Linked DNA regions of Saccharomyces cerevisiae S288C. Changing the gene in region 4 together with the main gene of any one other region gives a genetic interaction. Each region holds a gene or a part of one and is shown on either strand. Other genes may lie near its edges.

What was found.
Region 1: mutations in REI1 (region 4) and RMD1 together harm fitness more than expected from each alone (negative genetic interaction), as found in Saccharomyces cerevisiae (2 studies listed by BioGRID).
Region 2: mutations in REI1 (region 4) and TEF4 together harm fitness more than expected from each alone (negative genetic interaction), as found in Saccharomyces cerevisiae (2 studies listed by BioGRID).
Region 3: mutations in REI1 (region 4) and CRT10 together harm fitness more than expected from each alone (negative genetic interaction), as found in Saccharomyces cerevisiae (2 studies listed by BioGRID).

What each region holds. Positions count from the first base shown.
Region 1 is NC_001136.10:444,327-451,729, reverse strand, and holds RMD1 (Rmd1p), read right to left. Parts: upstream 3,747-7,403; coding exon 2,454-3,746; downstream 1-2,453. Other genes in the region: alpha,alpha-trehalase NTH1, read left to right, coding at 1-1,510; NHP10 (Nhp10p), read left to right, coding at 4,152-4,763; MCD1 (kleisin alpha), read right to left, coding at 5,347-7,047. UniProt on the Saccharomyces cerevisiae protein: Required for sporulation where it is believed to have a role in meiotic nuclear division.
Region 2 is NC_001143.9:280,392-284,979, forward strand, and holds TEF4 (translation elongation factor EF1B gamma), read left to right. Parts: upstream 1-2,499; coding exon 2,500-2,704; intron 2,705-2,793; exon of another isoform or gene 2,794-2,888; intron 2,889-3,030; coding exon 3,031-4,064; downstream 4,065-4,588. Other genes in the region: HOT13 (Hot13p), read left to right, coding at 118-468; ribosome biosynthesis protein RRP14, read right to left, coding at 634-1,938. UniProt on the Saccharomyces cerevisiae protein: Subunit of the eukaryotic elongation factor 1 complex (eEF1). Probably plays a role in anchoring the complex to other cellular components.
Region 3 is NC_001147.6:204,548-213,584, forward strand, and holds CRT10 (Crt10p), read right to left. Parts: upstream 5,719-9,037; coding exon 2,845-5,718; downstream 1-2,844. Other genes in the region: phosphoinositide 5-phosphatase INP54, read right to left, coding at 184-1,338; MET22 (3'(2'),5'-bisphosphate nucleotidase), read right to left, coding at 1,556-2,629; APM4 (Apm4p), read right to left, coding at 5,973-7,448; ribose phosphate diphosphokinase subunit PRS5, read left to right, coding at 7,697-9,037. UniProt on the Saccharomyces cerevisiae protein: Substrate targeting component of a cullin-RING-based E3 ubiquitin-protein ligase complex RTT101(MMS1-CRT10). RTT101(MMS1-CRT10) may regulate nucleotide synthesis through transcriptional regulation of RNR genes encoding ribonucleotide reductases.
Region 4 is NC_001134.8:738,034-745,607, reverse strand, and holds REI1 (Rei1p), read right to left. Parts: upstream 5,768-7,574; coding exon 4,586-5,767; downstream 1-4,585. Other genes in the region: EFM2 (S-adenosylmethionine-dependent methyltransferase), read right to left, coding at 1-756; BIT2 (Bit2p), read left to right, coding at 1,210-2,847; SDH8 (Sdh8p), read left to right, coding at 3,032-3,448; mitochondrial 54S ribosomal protein mL54 MRPL37, read right to left, coding at 3,992-4,309; SLM6 (Slm6p), read left to right, coding at 5,220-5,672; TSC10 (3-dehydrosphinganine reductase), read right to left, coding at 6,064-7,026; Rab family GTPase YPT10, read left to right, coding at 7,239-7,574. UniProt on the Saccharomyces cerevisiae protein: Pre-60S-associated factor involved in the cytoplasmic maturation of the 60S subunit. Involved in the dissociation and recycling of other late pre-60S factors like ARX1, TIF6 and ALB1 before newly synthesized large ribosomal subunits enter translation.

The DNA.
Region 1 (7,403 bases), on a different chromosome or scaffold from region 4:
ATTAGAAGTTGAATATTTACCAAAAAAAATAACGGCAGAATACGTCAAATCCGTCAATGATACCCCCGGTTTACTAGCATTGGCTATGGAAGAGCACTTCAATCCTTCTACTGGTGAAAAAACTCTCATTGGTTACCCTTATGCTGTTCCTGGTGGTAGATTCAATGAATTATATGGTTGGGACTCCTATATGATGGCACTAGGTCTCCTAGAAGCCAACAAGACTGATGTTGCAAGAGGTATGGTGGAGCATTTTATTTTTGAGATTAATCACTATGGAAAAATATTGAATGCTAACAGAAGCTACTATCTATGTAGATCACAGCCCCCATTCTTGACTGAAATGGCCTTGGTAGTATTCAAAAAACTTGGTGGTAGGAGTAATCCCGATGCTGTGGATTTGTTGAAAAGAGCTTTCCAAGCAAGCATAAAAGAGTACAAAACTGTTTGGACCGCATCTCCAAGGCTTGATCCCGAAACAGGCTTATCCAGGTACCATCCTAACGGTCTCGGTATTCCTCCGGAAACTGAAAGTGATCACTTCGATACCGTTTTACTACCATATGCATCGAAACACGGCGTTACCTTAGACGAATTTAAGCAACTTTATAACGATGGTAAGATAAAGGAGCCTAAATTGGATGAGTTTTTTCTTCATGACCGTGGCGTTAGAGAATCTGGACACGACACTACATATAGGTTTGAGGGCGTATGTGCCTACCTGGCCACTATTGACCTGAATTCTCTTCTTTACAAATACGAGATTGATATTGCAGACTTCATAAAGGAATTCTGCGACGACAAATATGAAGATCCTTTAGACCATTCTATAACAACTTCAGCTATGTGGAAAGAAATGGCCAAAATCAGACAAGAAAAGATTACCAAATATATGTGGGATGACGAGTCGGGGTTTTTCTTTGACTACAACACAAAAATCAAGCACAGAACGTCATACGAATCCGCAACTACATTCTGGGCATTATGGGCTGGACTTGCCACGAAGGAGCAAGCACAGAAAATGGTGGAGAAAGCACTACCCAAGTTAGAGATGCTTGGAGGTTTAGCTGCATGTACGGAGCGTTCTCGAGGCCCAATTTCTATTTCGAGACCAATTAGACAATGGGACTATCCATTTGGTTGGGCACCCCATCAAATTCTTGCTTGGGAAGGCCTCCGTTCTTATGGTTATTTAACTGTAACGAATAGGCTAGCTTATAGATGGCTTTTCATGATGACAAAGGCTTTTGTCGATTATAATGGTATTGTGGTTGAAAAATATGATGTCACAAGAGGAACAGATCCTCATCGTGTTGAAGCAGAATACGGTAATCAAGGTGCTGACTTTAAAGGGGCAGCTACTGAAGGTTTTGGATGGGTCAATGCCAGTTACATTCTTGGTTTGAAGTATATGAACAGTCACGCAAGAAGAGCGCTTGGTGCTTGCATTCCACCAATATCATTCTTTAGCAGTTTAAGGCCTCAAGAAAGAAACCTCTATGGACTATAGTTGAGATAATATATATATATATATATATATACTCCAGGTACAGTCCTCTAGGTACCTAAATCCTCTTTATATGATCTGCCGATAGATAGTTCTAAGTCATTGAGGTTCATCAACAATTGGATTTTCTGTTTACTCGACTTCAGGTAATGAAATGAGATGATACTTGCTTATCTCATAGTTAACTGGCATAAATTTTAGTATAGGTTAACTCTAAGAGGTGATACTTATTTACTGTAAAACTGTGACGATAAAACCGGAAGGAAGAATAAGAAAACTCGAACTGATCTATAATGCCTATTTTCTGTAAAGAGTTTAAGCTATGAAAGCCTCGGCATTTTGGCCGCTCCTAGGTAGTGCTTTTTTTCCAAGGACAAAACAGTTTCTTTTTCTTGAGCAGGTTTTATGTTTCGGTAATCATAAACAATAAATAAATTATTTCATTTATGTTTAAAAATAAAAAATAAAAAAGTATTTTAAATTTTTAAAAAAGTTGATTATAAGCATGTGACCTTTTGCAAGCAATTAAATTTTGCAATTTGTGATTTAGGCAAAAGTTACTATTTCTGGCTCGTGTAATATATGTATGCTAATGTGAACTTTTACAAAGTCGATATGGACTTAGTCAAAAGAAATTTTCTTAAAAATATATAGCACTAGCCAATTTAGCACTTCTTTATGAGATATATTATAGACTTTATTAAGCCAGATTTGTGTATTATATGTATTTACCCGGCGAATCATGGACATACATTCTGAAATAGGTAATATTCTCTATGGTGAGACAGCATAGATAACCTAGGATACAAGTTAAAAGCTAGTACTGTTTTGCAGTAATTTTTTTCTTTTTTATAAGAATGTTACCACCTAAATAAGTTATAAAGTCAATAGTTAAGTTTGATATTTGATTGTAAAATACCGTAATATATTTGCATGATCAAAAGGCTCAATGTTGACTAGCCAGCATGTCAACCACTATATTGATCACCGATATTAGGACTTCCACACCAACTAGTAATATGACAATAAATTCAAGATATTCTTCATGAGAATGGCCCAGCTGTTCCTTCAACATTTGAAGAAGATCTGAAATGACCTCGAGTCTTTGATTTAAAAGTGAAACGCGCTGATTGATCTCTAAGTAACCTCTTGTTGCTTGGTATATGGGTTCTAACTGTGGTTCTGACCACATAATTTCTGGAGAGTCTAAAACTGATCCATGTAGATTGATATTTATCCTCAAAATGAATAGCTCCCCTATACTTTTCATTATATCTTCTTTGCTCATAGAAACTTTACCGCTGTATGCAATTTCTTGTGGTATATCCTGAGTATCTTCAATAGTATTATCCACAAGCTCTTCGAAAAGTGAAATTTTTACGCTTTGAGCAATTGCATGAGAGATAGAGAGTTTTACCATGTAATTTGAACCATCTCTCAAGGTAATAAAATCGTTATATATTCTTGGTTGATAACTTTTTGTGACATAATAATTGAACTCTTCAACTTGAATATCTTCTTCCGCCAATTTTTCTTTTTCGAACTTTTCTATATCGTTTAAGAAAGCTTTTTCTTCTCTTTCAGTAAACCCCCACATAACGACAACACCATATTCAAAGATAAACAGATCTGGGTGCTTGTCACTAACAATAATTTCACCGCCCTCATCATCCAACCTAATCACATCTTCATCCTCAAATCTTTTGTCGCCCCTCCAATCGTTGTAAATGAAGGGAGTGTACAAGCATTCATCAAACAATTTAGGATGAGTATGATGTAGCTTTCGACAGTCCTTTAACCACCTTACCAGCTCTTTCATATTGTAACTGCTAGCAGTACAATATGCAGTTGACCTGGGGAGTAAATGTCTGTGAGCTTTTCCCAACTTTTCAGCATCCCTTCTAGCAGGCTTATCTTTTATCCTGTTTACCTGAGAATATACTTCCTGATTCTTTAAATCAGTAAGTCTTTCGCTATCTCTTTGGAATGGTTCTTCTGGCAAAAGTTTTAGTTTCTGTGCTGTGCGTGATGTTCTTTGAGCGCCCGATCCTGTACGACTTTGTTTACTTGTCGGGTTGATCATGGCACTTCCTGTATACGATGCTCTAGACTTTCTTGTATCTTGTGGGGTAGGTAAGTACTTTTTTTGGACCAGTGATGGCCTACTGTTATTTGATGTTTGGATGTCATTATGAAGTAATGCATGGCGTTCCGGTTGATCATCATTACTATCTACCATGACTAATTGAATATTAAATGTATTTAAAATGCTAATTTAAGCTGAGTAGTAGTTGGACAGATTTGTTTAGCCGCAGTTACGGTGATAGTCGGCAAAGGAATAATTTTACGGTTACTTGATATATTTTCGTGCTAAGAAATCTTGTGCACGAAAGCGGACAAGGTATTGTCAGCAGTTTTTCGCCCTAAATCGCATTATCAAACAGAAAAAACAAGAATACACCAGTAAAGCAAAAGGAGCCGACGGTTCTCCATTTTCCTTAGAAAAAAGATTTTCTTCTGAGAAAGGAAGGATTTCAATTAAAATATAAGGAAATGATTACCACGCACATATATATTAAATCGTTCTAGGGGCTAGAATTGGATGAGAAGCAGCCAGGATATAGGTAATAGTAACACATAAGAAATGTCAGTTGAAGAAAAAAAGCGCAGACTTGAAGAATTGAAAGATCAGAATGTGGTGCTTGGACTTGCAATCCAAAGGTCACGACTTTCGGTGAAAAGACTCAAATTAGAATACGGTGTTTTACTGGAGAGGTTGGAATCCAGGATAGAACTTGATCCTGAGTTAAACTGTGAGGATCCATTGCCGACTCTGGCCTCCTTCAAACAGGAACTATTGACGAAGCCATTTCGAAAATCTAAAACTAAAAGACACAAAGTAAAGGAAAGAGATCCGAATATGCCCAAGAGGCCCACAAATGCATACTTATTGTACTGTGAAATGAATAAGGAAAGGATTAGGCAGAATGGCTCTCTGGACGTGACAAGAGATCTGGCAGAAGGTTGGAAAAATCTTAACGAACAAGATAGGAAACCGTACTATAAGCTTTATAGTGAGGACAGAGAAAGATACCAGATGGAAATGGAAATATATAATAAAAAGATATCTAATATAGATGCGGATGATGATAAAGAAGAGAATGAACAGAAGATAAAAAATAACGAGGAAGGATCATCTACAAAAGTAGCTGATTCTAAAGGAGGTGAAGATGGAAGTTTAGTTTCCTCTAACTAAAAATTAAAAATTCCATTTTTTTCTATTTTCTTTGAAGATATCGTAAGACGTTCTAGGCGCTTTATCCAGAAATTGTTCAACTTTATTGTTTTGTATATTAGATAAAAAGTTGAGCCTTTAAAAACTGCATAATGTTTCCTCTGGCTGCTAATGTACCAAAGCTAATGGAAAAGAAGATTGTTTGGCCTGGAAAACTTTCTAGACGTGGCTTTATTACCAGGGTTGTGTAAGATTATGTAAGATGGTCAGTATGTAGCACTTACAATGGACCTTTCTTCTATTCCCAAGGTTTCCATGAGAAAATTTCGGCTTCACCGGTGTACGTGGGCAGACGATTCCTAATATCACTATTCAAAATAATACAGCAAGTTTTAGAATAAATACTACCCATGCACCAGCGTGTAGAGTTGCCAAGATCATTCTGCCTTGCGGCCAGTAGTGGCTCTACCGCATTAGTTTGAATTTTATCGTATTTTGTGAATATTAATATTAAATATTGACAATTTTATAAATTAAAGTCTTTGATCTATATATGCATCAGCTTATTGGGTCCACCAAGAAATCCCCTCGGCGTAACTAGGTTTTAAGCATTGATAAACCTTTCAAATAGTGCAGGTTTGGCGTCTATTTTAATATTTCCGAATGCTTCTGTTTGACTCAAACCAATACATCCTTCTGTAGCAAGTGATAAAATATCGAAAAATCCTCTACTGGCTTCTCTTTTAGTAATATTTTCTGGTTCTGTATTTGCTTGACTTTTTAGTACATCCGTGAATATTACTTCTTTTTCTTCGCTTAATTCCTTCCTTAAAATCTTCGCCATTTGAACAATAGCTTTAGAAGCCACCTCACCGGGAGTAGGACGAACTTTTTCAGTTTGGATGGTAGTTTGCTCATTTCTAGTCTTTGCGTCGATGATATTCTCTTCAGGAAAAGGAGCCTCATTTAAGCCAGCATCAATTGGTACGAAGTCTGACATGTTATCGGTCAGTTCATTGAAGGAGTTATCGTTTGTTCCCGCATTACTAATTACATCGTCGGTAAGATTAAGCGACACGTTTAACTCAGGTTCTTCAATTGACCCTTCTCGCCCATTATGTATTTTTCTTTTTTTTAGAGATTCGTAGGATAAGAAGTTCTTAAGGATTGGATCTGGTAAATAGGACATACTTTCAGTTATTTCACTCCATAATCTTTTAGTCGTAAAATTGGTGGGCTGTGGAGTCAATAAATTATTCGATCTCTCCTCTTTGTATGTATTGGATGAAGCTATGCTTTCTGAATTTTCTGTTTCTTCATCGATTTGAATACTTTTGGTATTCAGTAATTTTGAGTTCCTTCTTGTGCCAGTTTGTTTTGGCTGTGATTCTGTCATGGCATCGGTTATCGTATCTATATTGCCTGCGGGTGCTTCTTTTTCTATATCCAGATCAAATCCAAAATCCGTAGGCTCCTCAGACATGATTGATTCACCTAGCCTTCTTCCTTGCTCAACAGAGTTATCGTCATCATCGTTGTTCTGGTCATTTTTTTCGGTAATCCCTAGATCCCAACCAATAGTTCCAGCATCATCAAGAGGGAAATCGTCATCTTGTATGTAATTTTCGTGCGTATCAAAGTTGCGTGAGCTTTGTCTTGTTCCTTCTTCCCAAGATTTTGAAGTTATCGGACCTTCCTCGATGTCAAAATCAAGGTTCATACTAGACAAATTATTATGTTCGAAATCTTCATCTGGACTGAATCGTCTACCGACCTCAAGTGAAGTATCCCAGGGAGCAGCACCTTGGACTTTTCTTTCCATCGAATTCTCCTGCGCCATTAAGCCCACTGGTATAGTAGTATCATCTAAGAACTCTAACCCTGGGGTGACCAAAACTTCTCTTTCTGTAACGGCATCTTCTAACATCAATTGATGAACCCTTGTTACAGTGTTCAGTCTGTTTACTGTAGAAGTCATCTTCTGGCTTGTTTTAAATAACATACTTATCTTCGTTAATGTGTCCTTTATATCTGTAAGGAGAAAAGTGGCCTGTTTGGAATATACACGAACAATGCCTTGAAGTAATTCGCCAGATGTTCGTAAAGTTATGTATTCATTGTCCCCTGATTCGTCATCACAGCCAGAAGCTTTTGCAATTTCCTTTGCTGATTCAGCAATATGTGTTTGGATAACCGATCCTCTTGGTATATTCGACATATTTGAAGCAAGCCATATTTGTGCTAATGGACCCTTATTGGTGGCAAGTCTTAAAACAGTAAGACGTTGAGGATTTTCTGTAACCATTGTCGTGTTTCTTGTAAAGTAATTGTGCAATTGAGTTGTCTTTTCTTTGACCAGTCCTTTTTTGTTATGGATTTTCCTTTTATTGGTTTAACAATTATGTTCTCGTGACAATGGGAAAAAGGTCGGCGATTTAAGCAATAATAATAGCAAAAAGAATACTTTTTAGCACCCTATATATATGTACATATATATATATATATCATAATGAAGACAAATTCTGCTACTTTTGATACTGTATACCATACGTATGCAAGCACTGTGAGAGTAGAAAGACGCGATTTTCTCGACGCGTCCCTCCTCGAGTTATTTGTTTAGCATAAATTTTCAAACGCGAAAAATTTGAATTTCTTTTTCAT
Region 2 (4,588 bases), on a different chromosome or scaffold from region 4:
TGATAATGATGATGATGATGATAATGATGAATAAACGTTTCGGTTTACGAGTTTCTTTAAATATACATATATGATATAAAAAAAAAAATACGTACCACTTACAATTTGCAAATATAGATGATCGAAACTGCCATTTATGGTAAGACAGTGGATGACCAATCTCGATGTGTCCACTGGCATCTTCCAAAGGATGTAATTGCCATCAGGTTTAAATGTTGTGATAAGTACTATGCGTGCTTTGAATGCCACCAAGAGTTAAGTTCTCACCCGCTAGAAAAATATGATCTCCTTGACGATGCAAATAAACACTTGATTATTTGCGGAGTTTGCCGTCATGAAATGACGTTTGCAGAGTATTACGACTACAATTCAAACCTTATTTGTCCCAATTGCAGATCCCCCTTTAATCCAGGCTGTAAATTGCACTACCATTTGTATTTCCAGAACCCTCCCCCCGCTATGTGTTGAGTGTTGTTCTATAAATGCATGCCATCTTAAGCTCTGCTGTGCTCTTCTCGTTAAGGAAAAAATGCGATGGTATATATATAGATATATATATATATATATGTATCTGTATATATATGTTCATACATATATATATATCTATTATTGTTGTTATTATTATCGTGATTATTATTTAGGTCCTCCCTTCTTTTTACCTGTTTTTAATCTACCCTCAAATCCGGCTCTTTTCTTTGGTACGGCACTACCGACATACTTTCTTTTCATCTTTTCTTGCTTATTTCTCTTTTTACCCTTGTTGTCTTTCCTAATCCTCAGATTCTCTTCTCTTCTCTTTTGTCTTTCAGATATCGTGTCTTCCACAACCCTCTTACGTTCGCTCCATTCAATCGCAGACTTTCTCTTTTGTGCTTCCTTTCTCTTTATAGCTTTGCGAAGTAGTTTTTCGTCATCCCTAATCTTAATTCCTTCTGCTTGTAACATAGCCTTTTGCCATTTTTCCTTTTCCTTCTGCTTGATTTGTTCTAGTTCGTCTTTCGCCTCCATCTTATTCTTCTTGGCTTCTAATAACTTTAAGTGTGATTTTACATCATTCTTAGCCGGACCCTTCGTTCTACCAGCTTTTCTTAACCTTTGTAAATCTGAAGTGGCCCTTGCACCATCATCGAATATGATATTTTGAAACATTACACCATCTGCGTTAATTTCTGAGTCCTTCTTGCCTTTTTTGAATCTTTTTTTCGAATTGTTTTCTAAATCACTATCGATGTCTTCCATATCGGAATCAGACGCAATTTCATCCTGATCCTGTTCCTGTTCACTTTCTAGACGCTTTCTTTTTTTCAACTCTTCCTTGCGTTTCCTTTGAGCAAGAATAGCCTCTCTAGAACCGGGTGCTTTCCTTTTACTCTTCATATCTGAAATTTTCGCTTGTAACTTGGAACGTAGTGCTTCCAAGTTTTTCTTTCTTTGTAGTTTCTCTTCCTCTGTAATAGACTTCTTTTCGACAGATCTATCGGGCTCTGTAGTATCTTTTTTAGATTCTAATGGTATTTCATTTCCCTCATCATCAAAGATCACCTTAATATCCTCTTCCTCTTCTTCATCTTCGTCTGGTGCTATTATCATAGGATCGTTTACTTCTACGTTCAGGTCGGAGTCTCCTTCCACTTTTGATGTTGCTTCCTTTTGCTTTTGCATTTTCATGTGCTTGAATTTTTCACCAGGTAGGACCACCGGCTTTGCGTCTTTCTCCTTCTTCTTCATTACTTCTAATGTACTAGATGTTTCATCATCACGTTGCTCCGGGTCTAATTTTTTCAGTTTATCATTTTTACTCTGTTCTTTGGTTTTCTTCTTGGCCTTCCATTGCTCTTGACTTTTTTCATCATAATAGTATTTTGCAGGAATTAAAGCCAATAAACCATCGAAGGCGCTTGAATTAGCACGAAGGCGCTCCTCAAGTGAATTACTCATCTCAGTCTCCTATATCTTTCAATTCCCGGACTTTCTTTATCACTTGCAACAACGTCTCAGTCCTCACTTGTTATTCATCTCTTGGTCATCTCATCTCTTTTATTGTACTTTCCTCTTTTCTTTACCGGAGATGAGAATAAAAAGAATTCATTTTAAAAAATTTTCAATTTGGTGTCTGGGTGAAACTTTTTAATCGTGTAATCCCAATTAAACCACTCTACTTTACTTTAATTGGTACACGAACTCATTACACACCTTTGCCTCTATTGCTTGTGTCAATCGTGTTGAGAGAGGAAGCCCAAAACAAGGGAAATTAACCTCTGTAGGCAAGCCATCACATTTGGCAATAGCAGCCCTCATTTAATTTAATTCGGCATGTGGCCGGCAGGGTAATGCGCTCTGCTGCTGACAAAATTGAAAGAAAAATTTTTTTCATCAACAGTTTGCAATACTTTCTTTTTCATATTTAATTCATCCATTCCGTCGTTAATTTTGTTCAAAACTGGTGTCCATCCTTAATACCAACTCAATTCTTTGATTTTGGCCCTCGATAGATTCAAGATGTCCCAAGGTACTTTATACATTAATAGATCTCCAAGAAACTACGCTTCTGAAGCTTTGATTTCTTACTTTAAACTAGATGTCAAGATCGTTGATCTAGAACAATCTAGCGAGTTTGCTTCTTTGTTCCCATTGAAGCAAGCCCCTGCATTTTTGGGTCCAAAGGGCTTAAAGCTAACTGAAGCTTTGGCTATCCAATTTTATTGTATGTTCCATATTTTATTTTAACACTTCCACATACATTGTTTTGCGCGTTTCCCGTTCGTTTATTTGGCACGTCATTTTTCTTCGAAACATAATGATGAAAAAAAATTTTATCAAACAGTTATCCCTGTCTGAATGGGTAATAATAGGTAACCTCTCATATGTTGATATTTGTATTTCTGATATGTTTCTTAAAGAAAAATGAAAGTCAAAATAACAAAAAGGAAGTACAAAGCGTGTCCTAATCCAGGAAAAAATATAAAGGATTGTTTTACTAACATTTCTTCAATTAATGGTTGTATAACCATCGAGATGATGTATATTTAGTGGCTAATCAAGTTGCCGATGAAAAAGAAAGAGCTCGCTTATTAGGTTCCGACGTTATCGAAAAGTCTCAAATCCTTAGATGGGCATCTCTAGCTAATTCCGATGTCATGAGCAACATTGCTCGTCCATTCCTTTCTTTCAAAGGTTTGATTCCATACAACAAGAAAGACGTTGATGCTTGTTTTGTTAAAATCGACAACCTAGCTGCTGTCTTCGATGCTAGATTGAGAGACTACACCTTTGTTGCTACCGAAAACATTTCTCTAGGTGACCTTCATGCCGCTGGTTCTTGGGCTTTTGGTTTGGCCACTATTTTGGGCCCTGAATGGAGAGCTAAGCATCCTCATTTGATGAGATGGTTCAACACTGTTGCTGCTTCTCCAATCGTGAAGACTCCATTTGCTGAAGTCAAATTGGCTGAAAAGGCTCTAACCTACACTCCACCAAAGAAGCAAAAGGCTGAAAAGCCAAAGGCCGAAAAGTCAAAGGCTGAAAAGAAGAAGGACGAAGCTAAGCCAGCAGATGATGCTGCTCCAGCTAAAAAGCCAAAGCACCCATTGGAAGCTTTAGGAAAGTCCACATTTGTCTTGGATGACTGGAAGAGAAAGTACTCCAACGACGACACCAGACCAGTTGCTTTGCCATGGTTCTGGGAACACTACAACCCTGAAGAATACTCCATCTGGAAGGTTGGTTACAAATACAACGACGAACTTACCTTGACTTTCATGTCCAACAACTTGGTCGGTGGTTTTTTCAACAGATTGTCCGCTTCTACTAAGTACATGTTCGGTTGTTTAGTTGTCTATGGTGAAAACAACAATAATGGTATTGTTGGTGCCGTTATGGTCAGAGGCCAAGATTTCGCTCCAGCCTTTGATGTCGCTCCAGACTGGGAATCTTACGAATACACCAAGTTGGACCCAACCAAGGAAGAAGACAAAGAATTTGTCAACAACATGTGGGCTTGGGATAAGCCTGTTGTTGTCAATGGCGAAGATAAGGAAATTGTTGACGGTAAGGTTTTGAAATAATCTCAATAACTCTTCTTCCATATTTTCTTCCCAATATACATAAGAGTCAAACAAAACGAATTTTCAAAAGAAAAAAGAAAAAAACCCTGAAGTCTACTTCATGATTACCCCATACTTACGCGTGGTTTAATTCTATGTAACGATTAACGTCCATGTAATCATTATATATATATATATTGTAATAATCTCTCTAATTGAGTATCACAATCTGCTGCGGTTACTCTAACAATATTTTGCATAAACTTGATTCTTCTCTTCTTATTTCATGTTTCAGTGGGGCATTTTCCATTGTACTTTTGCAACAATAGCGAAAAAAACAATTTTCCGTAAAGAGAAGCGTCAGTCATAAACGGTGTATGTTACCCGAACTGGAATGAATTTTATCTTAAGACTGGAAAACAATTTAGGATAGAACTGAAGATAGTGCAACACGTCTGGTGATATCATGTGCTTTCAAGCAGGATTTGTCACAGTGCTTTAGAAACACAAACAAAGGAGGTATATAGAAGTTGCAGTTGCTAGAG
Region 3 (9,037 bases), on a different chromosome or scaffold from region 4:
GCAATAATTTTGACTAGTTTTTCTTTTTTTTTTTTTTTTTTCATTCTTTTTCATTATTACTTAAGTTCTGTAAAGATATATGGAAGAGAAAATAAAAAGAATAAAACCAAAGATAGTGGTACAACTGACGTTATCTGTTTCAGACATAAATGAAAAACTTCTAGCCTGACAGCCCAGATCACTTTACAGGATTTTTAATAGTAAATATAATAGTAAAGAACCTAATATCCAATAATGTACATTCTTAGTAACTAGCCAACCGCAGTACCCGATGACTGCGTCACCAATTTGTCCAATCAGGCCAGAGCTCCATGATAAAGGATACTTTTCGATATGTAAGGATAACGGCACTGGCGTCCCTGTAGACCTTGGTAATCTTACGGTAAGATTAACGGGTTGATGATCGCTAAATAATAGAGCATTGGACCTAGGGACGGAATGGTAAGTACCTTCTTGTGCGAAAGTTGGCACTGCATAGCTTTTGTAGAGAATCCTATCGCACCACGACGGGATTCTTTTTGTATTATATGTTTCCTTTTCAAACAACTTGAATTTGTATGTCGGTGGAAATGTTATCTTCAGCTCCTGAAAACCTTTGCATAACGGTTCATCCTCTCCTTTACGTAGCAGATTTAGTTCTTCATGATTTTCTAATAGACGCCTTAACGTTGTGGTGGACGAATAATTGGTAGTTGGATCATAAGTACTAGTAACCCTAAAATTCAAATCGCCTAGAAAGAAAAAGTGGTCGCTTTTTGCAACCTCAGAATCACACACTTCACTCATTATTCGTTTGTAATCATCTATTCTTTGATTTCTATTGTTGACACCTTCATTTGCATTTAAATGAGCACAAATATAGCTAAATCTTTCCCAGTTCTCCTCGCCATTGCGTGTCATCTGAAAACTTATCAAAGTTCCACCTTTCAAGTGTGTACCAAACCAACCGCATTTCCCATTCCGTTTCAAAATATCATCTTTTACCTTTAGCGCATTATTATTGTATAATACTATTATGGTAATCGCCCCAAGACTATTCACCCCTAAACATGAATACTGCTCATCCCCTTGTGTAGCTGACACTTTTTCATTCAGACAATTAACCGCAGTAGTTGTAATTCTATCGATTAAATCACGATTAACAGCAGGGAAGGAGCCTTGCCATATGGGGACTACTTCTTGGAACCCCAACACATATAGATCTTGCAATTCCAATTGGGAGATGCCGTCATCGTAGGGGAAAAGCAATTGCTTAACGATTGCTTTCGAATTTTCAACGGGAAATTCCTTACCACAATTGAATGTAGTTACAGATACCTTCCAATTCGTTTTGTTCATTCGGTCAGAATCCTGCTGTATTTTCTTGTCTCACTTTTCTTCTTTGTTAGCCTACTCTTACCTCTTCAGTTTTGTTCTTTTCACTGTATTTTCCTTTTTTCACGCTATAACAACAATAAAAAAAGGTTATCATTTAACTGGTATGTACATACACATACACACATATATATATGTACTCATATATTTATGTCTATCAATAAAGTAAAATATATGTTATTTAGGCGTTTCTTGACTGAATGACATCGCATGATGTAGACACCACCAAGTCATGTAACTCGCGTGGGCCACTTGACGCTATAACTCCCTTCGTAGCTAGCGTTCTACCGTTACCGAAGTCTAGAGGAACATCTTCCATGGCATCTGTATGGATACCTCCAGCTTCATGGACAATAACGTTGCCTGCAGCATGGTCCCAGATCTTTTCTTGGTAAGAAAGTTTGATAGGCAGACGTAAATATACGTCTGCTAAGCCCAATGCTAACAAACAGTACTTGGCTTGAGAATCCAAGTGCAAAGATTTGGATATATTTAGTTTGTTTTTGATAGCAGTTTGTTCATCATGAGAGGAGTGTCCCTTTTCAACTCCCTCTAAAGTAATCATGTCTTTAGTGTCTTTTAAGTGTCTAACGTGGATTTTGGTCCATGACTCTGCATCTGAAGATGGAGAATAGAAGGCACCTAAACCTCTAACAGCACGAAAGATATAACCAAATGACTCATGGCCTTTCAAATCTTGGGCCCCATAAGAACTTAAAACTAAGTTGGGGCATCCAATACAACCAAGCTGAACAACACCGTCCACAATTAAGGCCAGACATACTGCAAACTGTTCACCTCTTAAAAACCCCTTGGTTCCGTCAATAGGATCCAAACACCAAAATCTTCCTTTTCTACCACCTTCGTAATTGCCGAAATCGATGATTTGCCTGACGTCCTCCAAAGATTTTAGCGGAAACTGATCGTTTGTAAACAGAAAATCATCCTTTTTATAATTCTTGTTATAAACTTCGTCATTGGCTTTTATTTCGTTTAAAATTCCTGAGACGAATGCGTCGCTCAATCCTGATGAGGATTCTTCACCAACTACCTTATCATCAGGAAAATTGCTCTTGATAGCATTTATGATGATCGTTTGTGCAGCATAATCACCTGTGGTTACTGGAGAATTATCATTCTTGGTAATAGTAGTGGAGTCCTTGTGAGAAATCACTTCAGATTGAATTCTCTTAGTCAATAAAGACGCCTTTCGTACAGCTTGAGTTGCAACCAATAATTCTCTTTCCAATGCCATAGTAAAGTGCTGATGTCTTCTGAGTTGTCTTTAAACTTCTTACTTACTAACTAATAAATTAAAGAGAAGTGCAAACGTTCTTTATATGTGGCATGGTTTCTTCTTTGCAAACTGAAAGTAAAATCGCAACACGTGATATTGCTCGTCTGAGTCATTCGCGCATTTCAATGAAGGAAGGATTATTATATAGATGGCTATGTAAATGTCAAAATATGCTATTGTTGAGTTGTTCCATGCTCAGTTGTGATCTTGAATGCCCTCAAGGAGCCTCTTGATGCTACGTATAAGGTAGCATATCCCTTACGTTTTAACTCTTCACTGTCAGATGCATAAGTGTAATCTAGTCCGCAAATATCACCCATGGGGAAATAGACGTCGCACACGCCGCAGTATGTGTCCGAGCTCTCTCCATCTGCACCATACATTGGTGCGTCAAACAAGTTCCTGTTACATCTGCACTCTGGACTAGGGTTAACAGGGTCTTGGACTTCCCATCCAAGAATATACTCTTGTCTAAACGAATAGATGCCTCTGTACTCTGTTAGTCTTAGTAATGAAATGAGACCCAATTGTGAAGCCACGGCTATGCAATTTAGTTCTTTGATGTGACACACAAAATTTATTCTGTTTAGTGCTTGGAGCAGCGACTTGGAAGCACACGTCACAACACCATCTAAGGGAAAAATCTCATGATGAGTTGCTGATATAATTATGAGTGGATTTGCTTTCATCAACACCAGCCTATGGGCTGTGGTTAGGAAGAAGAACTCGTCGTGCATTTCGGATAGTTGATACCCAAGAGGCGAATCTTCTGAGCCCGGTACTGCTGACTCTAATAACCGCTTGACGTTTCTTACATAGTTGTGGAACCCCCAAGATTTCTGCGATTCTGATTTCAAGTGAGCACGCTGTTCAGTATCCCTATATCTTCGCTGGAAACTTGTTAAGCTGCTACCAGATTCTTCATTTTCAGGGTCGCTATTGACATCGTCCTCTTCTGTAGAGTTCAGTTGAAGGCTACAAATTTCTGGGTCCTTCAAGACCGTGTTCAAATCCTTGCCAAAAAGTGTTCTCCAATCGGCAGCGGCATCGGTGTTGTACCATAAAAAGTTTCCCGATTCAATATTTGGTATATGATTTACTGAACTTAGCGATTTGAACTCTTTTGAAGTTCGTAGTTGTCTTTGTTTATCCATTTTCAAATTACGAATACTTCTATTAAATTCGCGAGATATATCTTCAATATCATTTTCGAGATCAGTAAGTTTATAAGTAGACGGCTCACAGATCTTTCTCCCAGAAGTGTTTTGATATTGCGATGTTTTATTTCTTCCACTAGGAGTTATCAACTGTGGAAAAGTATTAATAATATCCTTGTATTTCGAAAATCCACGCTCAGTAGCACGATAATGTTTATAACCAGAATCCTCCCAAAATGTCCATTGGTGTAAATGCTGTTCACATGAGGTGTTTTTTGTCACTGCATCATTCATATCGTCTAAGTCACCGGCATGTAAAATAAGTGCAAAATCCTCTCTGCTGTACTCGTATTTTATCGAGCCCGTTGTAGTGTAATTTCTATCAAATGAGGTAAATCTTAATGGTATAACTTCATCGGGGATCCCTGCTGAAGAAGTCAGTCGTAGGTCTGTGACAGGAACCTGAAATTGATTGAGTAATGTACCAATACCGAAATTCCCAGAGAGGTAGGCGTTATCACAGTAATACCCAAGTAAAAAATCATCTCGGCAAATAGAATATAACATGCTTTCTTTGAAACCGTCTTGGTAGTTAAGATTCAACAATTCGAAATTGTCAACTTTCGCAAAATCCTTCTTAGTCAGTGGAGTTATTGTCCATAAGTCGTCGCCAAAAAATTGAGTATCAAGGAAACTCGTTAAAATGGTACAATCATGCTCCTTTAATTTAACGGTAACAACATTCCCAAATATAGAACAATAACTTAATGTAATATATCCAACAGAATCTTTTGAATTAGGAACAAAGTTAACACAAGGAACATTGTGAGATGAGGGAAGATCTAGAGGCCGAATGTACCGTCTTTCCTTCTTTACATCTTTATCGAATGCAAAGACTGTAACTCCAGGCTTGTTATGGCCAACAGCGATATATATGATGCCATTTATATCTATTACATCAACACTCCAACAAGATTCCTCTACTCTTAACACCATATATGGATCAACATTTATGTATCTTTCCCGGCTGTTATCTTTGCCTCCCAAGATATCCGAAGTAAATTTATTAAATATCTTAATAACTTTGTTGATTTCCCAGATATAAACGATTCCGTTGTCACCGCAAGCTAGTAGAAAATCTTGATGCATGAAGTTACAAATCTTCATAAAGTTGATAGAACATAGTTCAGGTATGCTGTTGAACTGTGTATCCTTAAATTTCACATATGATGAATTGCGGAAGTTTCTTACATCTCCGTCATCTGGTATTATCACGGGCAATAAGGCGTGACATATTTCTAATGACGAAACGTTCAATAGTATATCGAAATTATGAACTTCGACGCATTGACCGGCAGCCAGGAAGGAATAACTCCCATAAGTGACGAACAAATTGTTCTTGAACTGCAAACCACCATAAGCAAACCTATTTGTGTATTGAAAAGGTGCGAACTCTAGTGGTATCTCTTGAACAAGTAGTTTTTCGTCCTGTGGCAATAGTAATTCAGCTGGATTCAAAAGCCTTGATGGTCCCCAGACGGGTTCTAAGTTGGAAAATGCAGATTTAGTATCCTCCAAGAAGGCTTTCTTGAATGAGTAAGCAGGATTTGGGATTTTCCATGAAGAGTCATGTTCTTCTAGGTTGTGTAATCGTTCTTTAATAAACTCCACGGTTTTTGGATGAAACGAATTGCAACTGGAGTTTGGCCACTTGAGTTGATAATATTTCTTTAACGTTATTATCTCATTCGTTATATTCCAGCCACCAGACGCCAGAAATACTTCTGAGTCAAAGCACTCTCTTGTCGATACTGCCCTTTGTATGATGGCCCGAGACTTAAGCCACCTTGTAAAGAGATCATCATTTTCATTGGGAATCTGAGGGGGCATTATATTCAAAACCAAATTTTCAAGCCTAGAAGTACCAGTGCCTCTTGATTGCGCTGTTGATCTTCATTACTATGGTGTTTTTGGTGTCTTGTATGGTTTTTCCATGTTTTTTCCCTGTTTTCTTTTCAATGAAAAACTAAATTGCATGTCTCTCATAATAGAAAATATTCAATATTAACAAAATGTGCATTCTAAAGGAAATTACTATAAAAAATACAGGCATGATAAAAATATATGTACACAAAAATTACGGGCTAGTACCTCACCTCGTAAGAACCGGCTTTCGATATATATTTAATCCATTTTACAGCACGATGCTTACTGTCTTTTCCAGAAATGGTAAAGTATCGTACGACTAAGCCAGAATTACTGAACATCATGACCTCGAATTCCAGGGATATTGGAGGTCTTGTCCATTGTTGAAGATTCAATTGAGTAGTATCACTTGTGGACACAGTAACTGCACTTAAAGTGTTTTCCGTCAACCCATTGTACTTGTTGAACCTCCAAATCATTGCATTTTCTTCTGGCACAAACTTACAGTGGCCATTAGAGACACTTATCTTACAATCCACAGTGCTTGGTGGAACGGGTATATGTAGTACCACATCTTTGGCGGAAAGTTTTCCAGGAAATAAAGACTTCAATGTTATCCTGTAATCAATCTCGTTATCTCTTGTAGAATGTGTAACAATAGGTGTAACCTTGAACGGCAGGTTTATGTTATCTCGTACATGATATTTCATCAACTCCATCGAACCGTCTGGTGGGACGAATTCAATGATATGATTTCTGTTAAATTTGTCAAGTGAGACACATTCGTGAAACTTGCAATCTTCCAACAAAACACTACCGGCAGCAGCTTTGGGAATGAAGTTCTTGTTTCCAAAATCGCTGCCAGAGTGACGCTGCTGCTGTGCTAACCATTTCTTCTCGTCTTCGGACTGCATTCCCAAAGAATCATTCAATCCAAATCTACAAATAGGGGTCCCACTCAAGTGTGTGGTGATATCTATGGTGCCATCAACGTATGATTTCAAGATAGAACCATCCCTAGATACCAGAATGTTTATCCTCTCATTGACATACAAGAAAACTTCATCCTTCTTGTGTATTATCCCCTTGGGCCTCCAAGTGATCTTATTGTTATCATAGAAATCAGAAGTGGAGTCTCCTTGACCCAGGAAACTACTGCTTCTTTTTGTCAAAAATTTGGGAAAATGTAGTTCTCCTGCTGAAGAAGTAGGAGATGAAGAGGAAGATAATACATCATTTCCATCGGGACTATCTAACAATCCGCCCATATTTCTAACGGGTTTCACAGACATCTGCGCTATAACAGAGTTCAATTCAGTGTCAATTGGTATCCCATTTCCACCCAACATTATATCCAGCATCTCATGCACAATCATGAATTCCTCTTTCAAGGCCTCCTCTCTATCCAATCGATAAGCATTCATCACTGCATCAAGCTTATATAAGAACTCCCAGATCGCCGCACTATTAGCGTTGCTTCTCGTAATGGTTACCAACCACAAATTGTCACCATGCCTCGACCTGATGTGATGGAAAGTAGTTGAGCCCAGTGTCAAAACAGGCGATCTAACATCTAGATTATTGATCACTTGTACTCGGAAGATATCGGATATGGACCGCTTCAACGAGTTCTTGAAGAACTTGTTCAAGACAAGTTCACCTCTCGATGAGTATACCAGCACACCACTAATCATTGCTCACCATAACTCTATGTGATTCTTTTCTCCAACCGTTTATGAAAGGTTTCCACACTTTATCATCAAGTTCTCCTATACTAATCAATTAAGGAAAATATGGCTGTTACCCTTCGACCGCAGTTGAAAAAAATTTTCTATCAAATAATAAATGGCTACGATTAGCGAGAAGGGCTGGATGAGATGAGAGTAAGTTGGTCGAAAGTGACTTTGTTGGAGGTTGCTACGAGGCTAGGAACGCAGTCTGGATGTCAATGAGTAATATTGTTGTTTTTGGAGGGGACTCGCACCCCGAGTTAGTTACTAAGATCTGTGAAAATTTGGACATTCACCCATCGAAAGTAGAATTAGGGAAGTTTTCTAATGGGGAAACGAACATTGCTCTTCGCGAATCTGTTCGTGAAAAGGATGTATATATCATCCAGAGTGGTTGTGGCCAGGTGAACGACACGTTCATGCAGTTGCTGATTTTAATCAGTGCCTGCAAGTCCGCTTCTGCCTCGAGGGTTACAGCCGTAATGCCATATCTCTGCTACTCGAGACAGCCAGATATTCCATATACTGCCAAGGGTGCTCCCATAATTTCCAAGCCTAAAGAAAACTATACTTTTGAATCGCATCCAGGCACACCCGTGTCATCTTCTTTAATGACGCAAAGACCAGGTGCTGAGAGCTCGTTGAAGAGTTTGGATAGTGCAATACGATCAACTATCAACTTAGAAAATCCTCAACCTATCAGAACACCAAACAGCAGTGCTACGGCGAATAACAATTTCGACATCAAGAAGACGCTTTCTTTTTCAAGAATTCCTATGATTCCCGGTGGTAAGTTACAAAATACAAGCAATAGCACGGACGCTGGTGAATTGTTCAACGCTCAAAATGCAGGCTATAAGCTATGGGTAGTACAAGCCGGTACTTTGATTGCTCATTTGTTGAGTGCTGCAGGTGCTGACCATGTGATCACAATGGATTTGCACGATCCACAGTTCCCTGGGTTTTTTGACATTCCAGTGGATAATCTCTACTGTAAACCCATTGCACAAAACTACATCCAGCATCGCATTCCAGATTATCAGGATGCTGTGATCGTTTCTCCAGATGCTGGTGGTGCAAAGAGAGCTACGGCTATTGCAGACGCCTTGGAATTGTCCTTCGCCCTAATTCATAAAGAAAGAAGATCTCAGTTATTGAAGGGCCCTCCAGATGCGACGTTAACCTCTGGTGGTTCGTTACCAGTATCTCCAAGGCCATTAGTTACTACTTTGGTTTCCTCCCAAAATACTACTTCTTCAGGTGCCACTGGGGTTGCGGCCCTTGAAATGAAGAAAACAACTTCAACATCTTCCACCTCGTCGCAATCTTCTAATTCGTCCAAGTTCGTTCAAACTACCATGCTTGTTGGCGATGTTAGAAACAAGGTGTGTATTATAGTCGACGACTTGGTGGATACTTCATACACTATTACAAGAGCTGCGAAATTGTTGAAGGATCAAGGATCTACCAAAGTTTATGCCTTAATAACGCACGGTGTTTTTTCCGGTGATGCGCTAGAAAGAATCGGCCAAAGTAGTATAGATAAGTTGATC
Region 4 (7,574 bases):
GATGTCGCTGTTCGCTAACATGTTCACATTAGTGGTATGTAGGTAATCCAGGTGATCTACGACTAATTGTGAAAGTATTAAAGATGATCCCCATGTTTTCCAACCAAGATTATCGGCCGTTAAAGAGGGTTCATGAAGCGGTATGGAAGTGCTTAGATTTCTTAATTCAAAATATCTTACTATGGATGGTTGGGCCGTTCTCCCACAGTTTTCGGATATCCTTGAGCTCAATTCCTTAAGAAGTTCTTGTATGATTTCCTCATTCAATCCGCAACTATTATTGTATTTTTTCAATACACTAGTATAGTAGCCCAACAGTAGTTCTTTGGATACTGTAAATCTCAGCATTGGGATTTTATTGCATATCTTTTCCAACGAGTTTAACCTCTTGTTAGGCCATTCTTCTGTATACCAAGTCAAAAGTCTTTTCAGCAGATCGGGTTCCAGCCCATGACTCTTGCAAACCTCCAGTACAGATTTGTTCTTCCCTGTCTCCTGATTGAAGTTTACTTGTCTATCGGGCTTCAGAAGTATTAGTATACAAAGGATAACTTCTGGCGGAGCATACTTCACGGAGGGCAGATCCAGATTATCGATAATGGTGTCATCGTCGTCACTCTCTTCTTCATCTACAGCCGTTAATATTTCGTCACGTTGCGGTGAGCAAGGATCTTTTGGCTCTCTCTCTGCTAGATTGAACTGTAAAGCCTCAACCTGGATGTCATCAGGGGTGTACAAATCGAGAGGATCAAACATAGTGAAATATCCGCTATGGAACTCCTAACTTGCATGAGTTAGATACTTGAAAAGTAATATACAGATTGCACTACTATTATTTTGTAGCTCATCGCGAAATTGAAGAAAAAATTTACGATTGGAAAAAAAAAAACTACTATCAGAAATAGGTGAACCAATTTTAATGCCTGGATAGAGCTGCATACGCTACTAGCTTAAACCAATATTGGTGTCGCCTGTTTTCCTTTACCCAATCCAATATACCACTATACTGCGAATGAAGGTGTTGAAATAATTTGACAAGAGCACTTTATCCATTTTGCATGCGACCTTTACTAGCAATTTTTCAGCGATCTTTGCGGGCTTTAAAATAAGGTCAAAATTAAAGGGAGAAAGATAGAAGACAGTAAATAAAAAATACAAACCACAATAAGCATAAGTGGCTAGGCGAGTCTTAAACTACAGAGTCAAGCAATGGCAACAGACCTAAATCGTAAAAGAAGTGCTACCTCAGGCTCACTGAGCGTCACGAACCCGAACATAAAAGCAACTAATCGCAAACCAGCTAGAGTTTATAGTGTTTCTTCTGATATAGTACCGCAAGCGCTGACACATCCCGACGAAGATGTGCATCTAAAAACATCCAAATCTCCTCATGATGCCGCTCCTAGATGGTCACAGGTGGGGTTTCAATCTATATTCCATGATGGTTCCAATGCAAGGCGCTCGACGGATTCGATTGAAGAGGAGTACAGCCAAGGCACGGAGAATAACGATGGTCACTCCGAAATAGGTTCATCAAGTAGTAACCGAATGGAGGGGAACACCACGTCTAATGATAGTTTATTTTCTTCCAACTCAAGGGGCAATAAAAGGCGACTGTCCATCTTCACCAATTCAAAAGATAATATGAGAAATCGAAGCAGGAGCGGGTCAAAAAACTACGGCACTGTTATTACCGGCACAAGTAGTAACAACATAAGTAGGAGTGGCTCTAAATTGTTTCATACGAAATCTAATATGAGTGTGAACAGTTTACAATCTTCACTGTCTACAGGACATTCTCATTCAAACAAAGGCAGTAATGTCTTTAGCAAAATGGCAAAAAAGCTTTTACCCTACAAGCCGCATAATTCCATTGGTAAAGACGACGTTGAACCCGTAGTTCCCAGCCCATTCAGTAAATTTCTGCATTCTTCATATGGTAAACATAGGTCACCCGTACAGTTTATCCATACTTCTACTGGAGGCCTTATTGACTCTGGAAAATCTGTATATTCCTTTAACCCTAGCATTAACAACAACCCTAATGATACAGCTCTATCGCTGATCCAAGATGATGCTTTCGACGCGACTAATGTTTCTTTACTACATGATTTACTGAAAAACTTGCCATCCTTGATAGCAAACTATAAAAGCTTCACCGTACAGGAGTTATTTGTTCTGGAGGGGAATATCTGGGGTATATACTGCAGCATAGTTGTGGAGCTATTTAAAAACAAGAGGGTATGGCAATTGCCAGCAAAAATAGAAGATATTGACCGGCTGCTGGAATTTTATATCACTTTGAAAACACAAACCAAGGCTGCCGTAACGCACTCAAGGTTTTTGGCCGAAATCGAGGAATTCATTACCACTTCACTTTACATTTTAGAGAACCAGATTGTGTTCAATTATGCCAATGAGGATACCGTAAATACGGCTTTGAAAAGAGTCGGCATAATCTGGAAGGTGTTTTACCAACAGGTTTACTACGACATGATGGCAGTGTTACTGCCCTTCGAGAAAAGCTTCCAAAAAAATAGTAACTACTGGCTTGACGGATATCTATCTGAACCTTCAAGGTACGCACCGTCAATTGATGTCCTTTTATTAAAGTGTTTTAGAGACTCCATCATTCTTCCGTATTACGAAAGCTTCCTACATACAAATGACGGTGCCAGTAAGAGTTTTCAAAGATATATTTTCAGCGAGGAAGAACAGAACGGCGTCACAGAGGAAGATAAACTGACGCTGCTGCAGTGTTTTGGGATCCTGAATACCATAAAAGGTAACAGCAGAAACCAAAGAATTATTGGTGAACTTCTTGAGGGCATACGCATGAGTATATAATTAAATATTTTATTTAGTAATATACAATAGTGGCATATAGATAGGTGTATTTCCTTTTTCTTGTTCCAAGAATCCGGAAAAACAGATGCTCTTTTCCGCCCTATAAAGGGGCCAATGGGGAAAGTGCAGATCATATTAACTTGCTAAAGAGTCAGAAAGAACCAAATAATAAAAAGAAGAACTAATGTTGTGCGCCATCAAAAGCACAGGTTATCGGTATCCTCGCACGGGAGCCTTAAATCTACTACGTGGACGACCATTTAATATGGCCACCCGAAAAATAACTACTGAAAGGATCCCCGGCCCTCCCAAGCTGCCAAGAGAAGAGCAGGAAGAGTTCGAAAGACTTCAGAGGATTGCCACATCGCAAGAGGCAATAGATCAGTATAATGCGCAGGCCACCGGCGATCGTACAAAGGAGAGTTTGAATTCACCGCTTTTAACCAAAAACGATATTGGGTCATTCTCGCCTGAATTTTCCAAGACCATACCTGAATTCGAAGGTGATGTTAACCCCAAGACTGGTGAAGTTGGGGGTCCCAAGCAGGACCCGTTGAGACACGGCGATTATTCGTTTAACGGAAGAGTAACGGATTTCTAGATATTTGGTCCGGCCAATTTTTAATAATACTATTCTTATTTGATGAAACTGCGTAACGTTCAATTTACTTTTCAATATGTATGTTGTTATGCTTTATTTTGAATATATAATATATATATGTGTGTGTTATGAAATGCATACGTTTCATGTTTGCCTAAAATCTCTTTCTTGTGAGCGTCCTTCGAATTCTTTTCGAGTATGAATTGAACCTATTTCGCATGTTTTTCGTGGAGACAGTCTTTCTAGTGCTTTTTAACCTTACCTTTGGCATGTTTTTGATCTTTACACTGGGCACATTCATACTTATCTTAGCCATGATTGACAATTCAACTATCTTGTTTCTTGCGAATTTGTGGTACTCTAAAGGATTTAATTTTTAACGTTTTGTTTGTCCCACTTGGTATTCCCCAGGCGAAAAGATATGTGGGAACTATCATGTTTTTGTTGGTACAAAATAAGGCATTATGCTAAAAACATACTATTTAACCACGTACACACATATTTATTTACAAGGATACCAAACTTGATCTTATTAACGGAGGCTTAAAGTTGGCTCAAGAAATTGTTTTGCTTGATTCGCTGCCTGTTCGCCTTCCTTATGTTCTTTCTTCTCTTTAAGAGAGCCTGTCCCTCTGGGTCCTCAGCCGCATGTTCGACAACGTGATCACTATCCAATACGCTCCATAACCAATTTGGATACTCCTTGTCCTCGAGTGCCACTGCGTCTTTACCGCTCTTCCATATGTTTAAGTTAAGCGATGTTCCCGCAGGACACGACGACACCACTGACTTAACCGTGGGTTTATTATATAAGATACGACTGGTCGATATCAACCTGTAACCCAAACTGCGCGCCAACATCTTCAGTCTTCAGCAGCTATTTCCTTTGCTGTAGATATAACTGCTTTAAGAAGCCTATTAGTTTTTTCACTTTCGAGATTTTTGCGCCAAACAAGGGCGCACAAATACCCGGCATCACGCATTTATTATATGAAGAGAATATTAGAACAGGCATTTCAAAGCATGATTCAATGACTATAACATTGCTATAGAGGGGGTAGTGAAGAATTATCTAATGTACAAATGGTGAAGCAGTATATATGCGACAAAATACTAAAAAAAGTAGTGCAAAAAGAATTACTGCAGAAGTTGGTCTCTGTAGTGTGGTTGGTTATTGACGAACTTGGCACTTCTCTTATCGAGCCTTTTCTTGTCGAACCTCTCAGTTTGCCAAACACGCTGTTGAGTCTGCACGCCCTTTTTGTCGAAGGCAGGTAAGAACGATCTCGTCTCTGCAGCGACCAGGGTACCTTGGCCTTCGGTCAGTATCACCTCGGGCTTTAAGTCTTGCTTGTAGTATCTTTGCAAGGACCTGTGGCCAACTTTGATGCCTGTCGGTAGATGCAGCTCTATACCATCGTTATATAAGTACTCTTGTGGCAGATCTTCGTCGTCGCTTCCGGCTTCGTCGCTGCCCACGTCTTCCCAGTCATCTTCGTTGTCTGGTGTTGTGTTGCTATTAAAGTTTGCGTATGAGCTTGTAAAATCGTAGAATTCAGATATCTCCAACCTTTCATCCTCGCTTTCGTAGGGAATTTTACAGTGTCTCTTTGCCAACATGTGCTGTCTTACAGCGGTCAACGTTCTCCCCTGGTAATTACAAACAATACAAATGTTCCCAAGACCAATCTTCTCCGACATGTATTTTACCAAGCCGATCTTGTCGACTAGATATTTCTGTTCTGGGATATAAAACCCGTGGGTCCTAAACATGTGTTCCAGGTTTTCTTCAACATCTTTGAAGTGCTTATTGTGCTCACAAAATAGACATTGTTCCAGTGGAATATCGACTCTGTTGCGTAGCTTTTCTTGCATTACTCTTTCCGCCATTTCTTCCTCGGTCAACTGTTCAGGCTCCTCCTTCTTAGGTTCTTCCTTTTCCTTGTTCTCCTCATTTTCTTGCAAAGAGAGCTTGCTTAGGTCGGGAGTATTTCCCTCTTGGCTCTTTTGCATGTTTTCAAGCATATTAGCCCTGGCAATTTCCAACAGTTTCTTTTTCTTTTCGAGCAATGCTTGCTTTTCCCTTCTTTTCAACTCCTTTTTGGTAACAGGTTTCTCCTTTTCAGCAGACTTACTAGTACTGGCAGCAGCTGCAGACACTTTGGAGTCAAATGTCTCAAATGATATTGGTGGCAATTGTGCAACACGTCTTTTCAAATTGTAGCGATGCCAATCGGACTTCATGTGGGCCCGCTGCTCGTCGCTTGAATCAAAGGTCAGGACACATGAATTACACGTATAAACACCACTGCTACTCATCGTATTGTTACTGATATGCTCTCTTCTTGACTTCTAATGAGAAGCATCTCATAACCTGTACTAAAAGTGGAAAGAGGAAAATTTTTTTCACCTCATCGCATCGGTACCCATAAGAAAAACTTTCAAAATATAGTAAGAAAAGAGAATAAAAATAGGAAAATATCGCCGTGGTAATAATGTTATAATTAATATTTCGTATATACTTATACATGTACAAATAGCTACACCACTAGGGTTTGTCTTGAAAGAAATAAAGAGAGTCACGGGGAATATCGGGAATGAGAGTGGATGTGCTCTCAGTTGGCCTTCTTGCCGTCATTTTCACGAAACCATTTCCTGATATACCAGGAACAGCCAACCATGTAGAATGGCACGACCAGAATGTTTGATAGGACACCAAAAATCCATTGCAACGGAACAAAGCGGCTTTTCTTTGCGGTGAGCCCAAGGTCCATCCCCATTATCATCCATCCGACAAAATCTGTAAAAACGTCATCATCACCTCTGGCCAGCGACTTGGCAATGATATCACATGCTTGTTTGCATGGGATAGCGTCTGAGGGGCCTTCGATCAACTTTGTAATTTCGGGTTTCGTTAGCTGCTCTACAGTGAAACCTTCGCTTTCAAAATTACCAGGATAAACACAACTGATACGGAAGTTCGTCAGTTCTTGTCTTAAGATTGCTACCAGTGATTTGATTGCAGCTTTTGCAGGCGCATACTGGGAATAGCCCACAAATGGGTAAAGCGCGGTGGCACTAGAAAAGATGATGAGGTGGTGTTCCTTGGTTTGCTCTGCAAGGGCAATCTGATGTGCCACGTTCAAAGTTGTTTTATAGTTGATGTCCATACCCAAGTTCAACTCATGTCCGCTTAGCCCACGAAATAACTTAGGAACAGCCCCCCCTGCACAGCATAACGTTTGTGTAGGGAGTAAATCCAAGTCTCTCAGGGCATTGAACAAACATTCCACGGATTCGTAGCAGGACAAGTCGCATGGGTAGTAAAATAACCGTTGCTCAAGGTCCAAGGGCGCAGCCAACTTATGTTGCACTTGGCCCTCGTCAGTGGTTTCCCTTCTCAGGTGAGCTTCAATCCTAATTTCGTTGCATGTGTCCAGCAGTCTAGCCTCTGACCTACTGACGATAATAATCTTTGTGTTTTCAGCCTCATTATAATATTTTTTGGCGAATTCCTTTCCAAGACCTTGTGAACCACCAGTGATCAACACAACTTGGTCTTCTAACGTAAACTTCATTACCTACAAAAGATTATACCGATAACTTCTTTTCTTGAGGCAATCTTATTTAATCGCTTCCAGTAAATGCAGAGAAACTCCTCTGCATTTTTCATTTTTTTGTTTTTTTTTTGTCGTTTATTGTTTTTTAGCCTTACGTTTCACGTTAAGGAACAATGATAGTAAAATTACTCCAGGAAATACAAGTAGCACAAAATACGGAGGAATACGATATGGAAGCAACCATCAAAGTGGTACTGCTAGGAGATTCATCAGTGGGGAAAACCAGTATAGTGACTAGGCTCAAATCAGGTAAGTTTCTAGCAAAACATGCGGCTACGATAGGTGCGGCGTTCATCACCAAGACAATCGAGGTTCCTTCTAACGACTCCTCTACGGAGAAACGTATCCATATGGAGATATGGGACACGGCGGGTCAGGAACGGTATAAATCACTGGTGCCAATGTATTATCGAGATGCGAATATTGCTTTGATTGTATTCGAATTGGGAGACGTATCCAGTCTGCAATGTGCAAAGACATGGTTTCAAGATTTACAGGACCGTGCT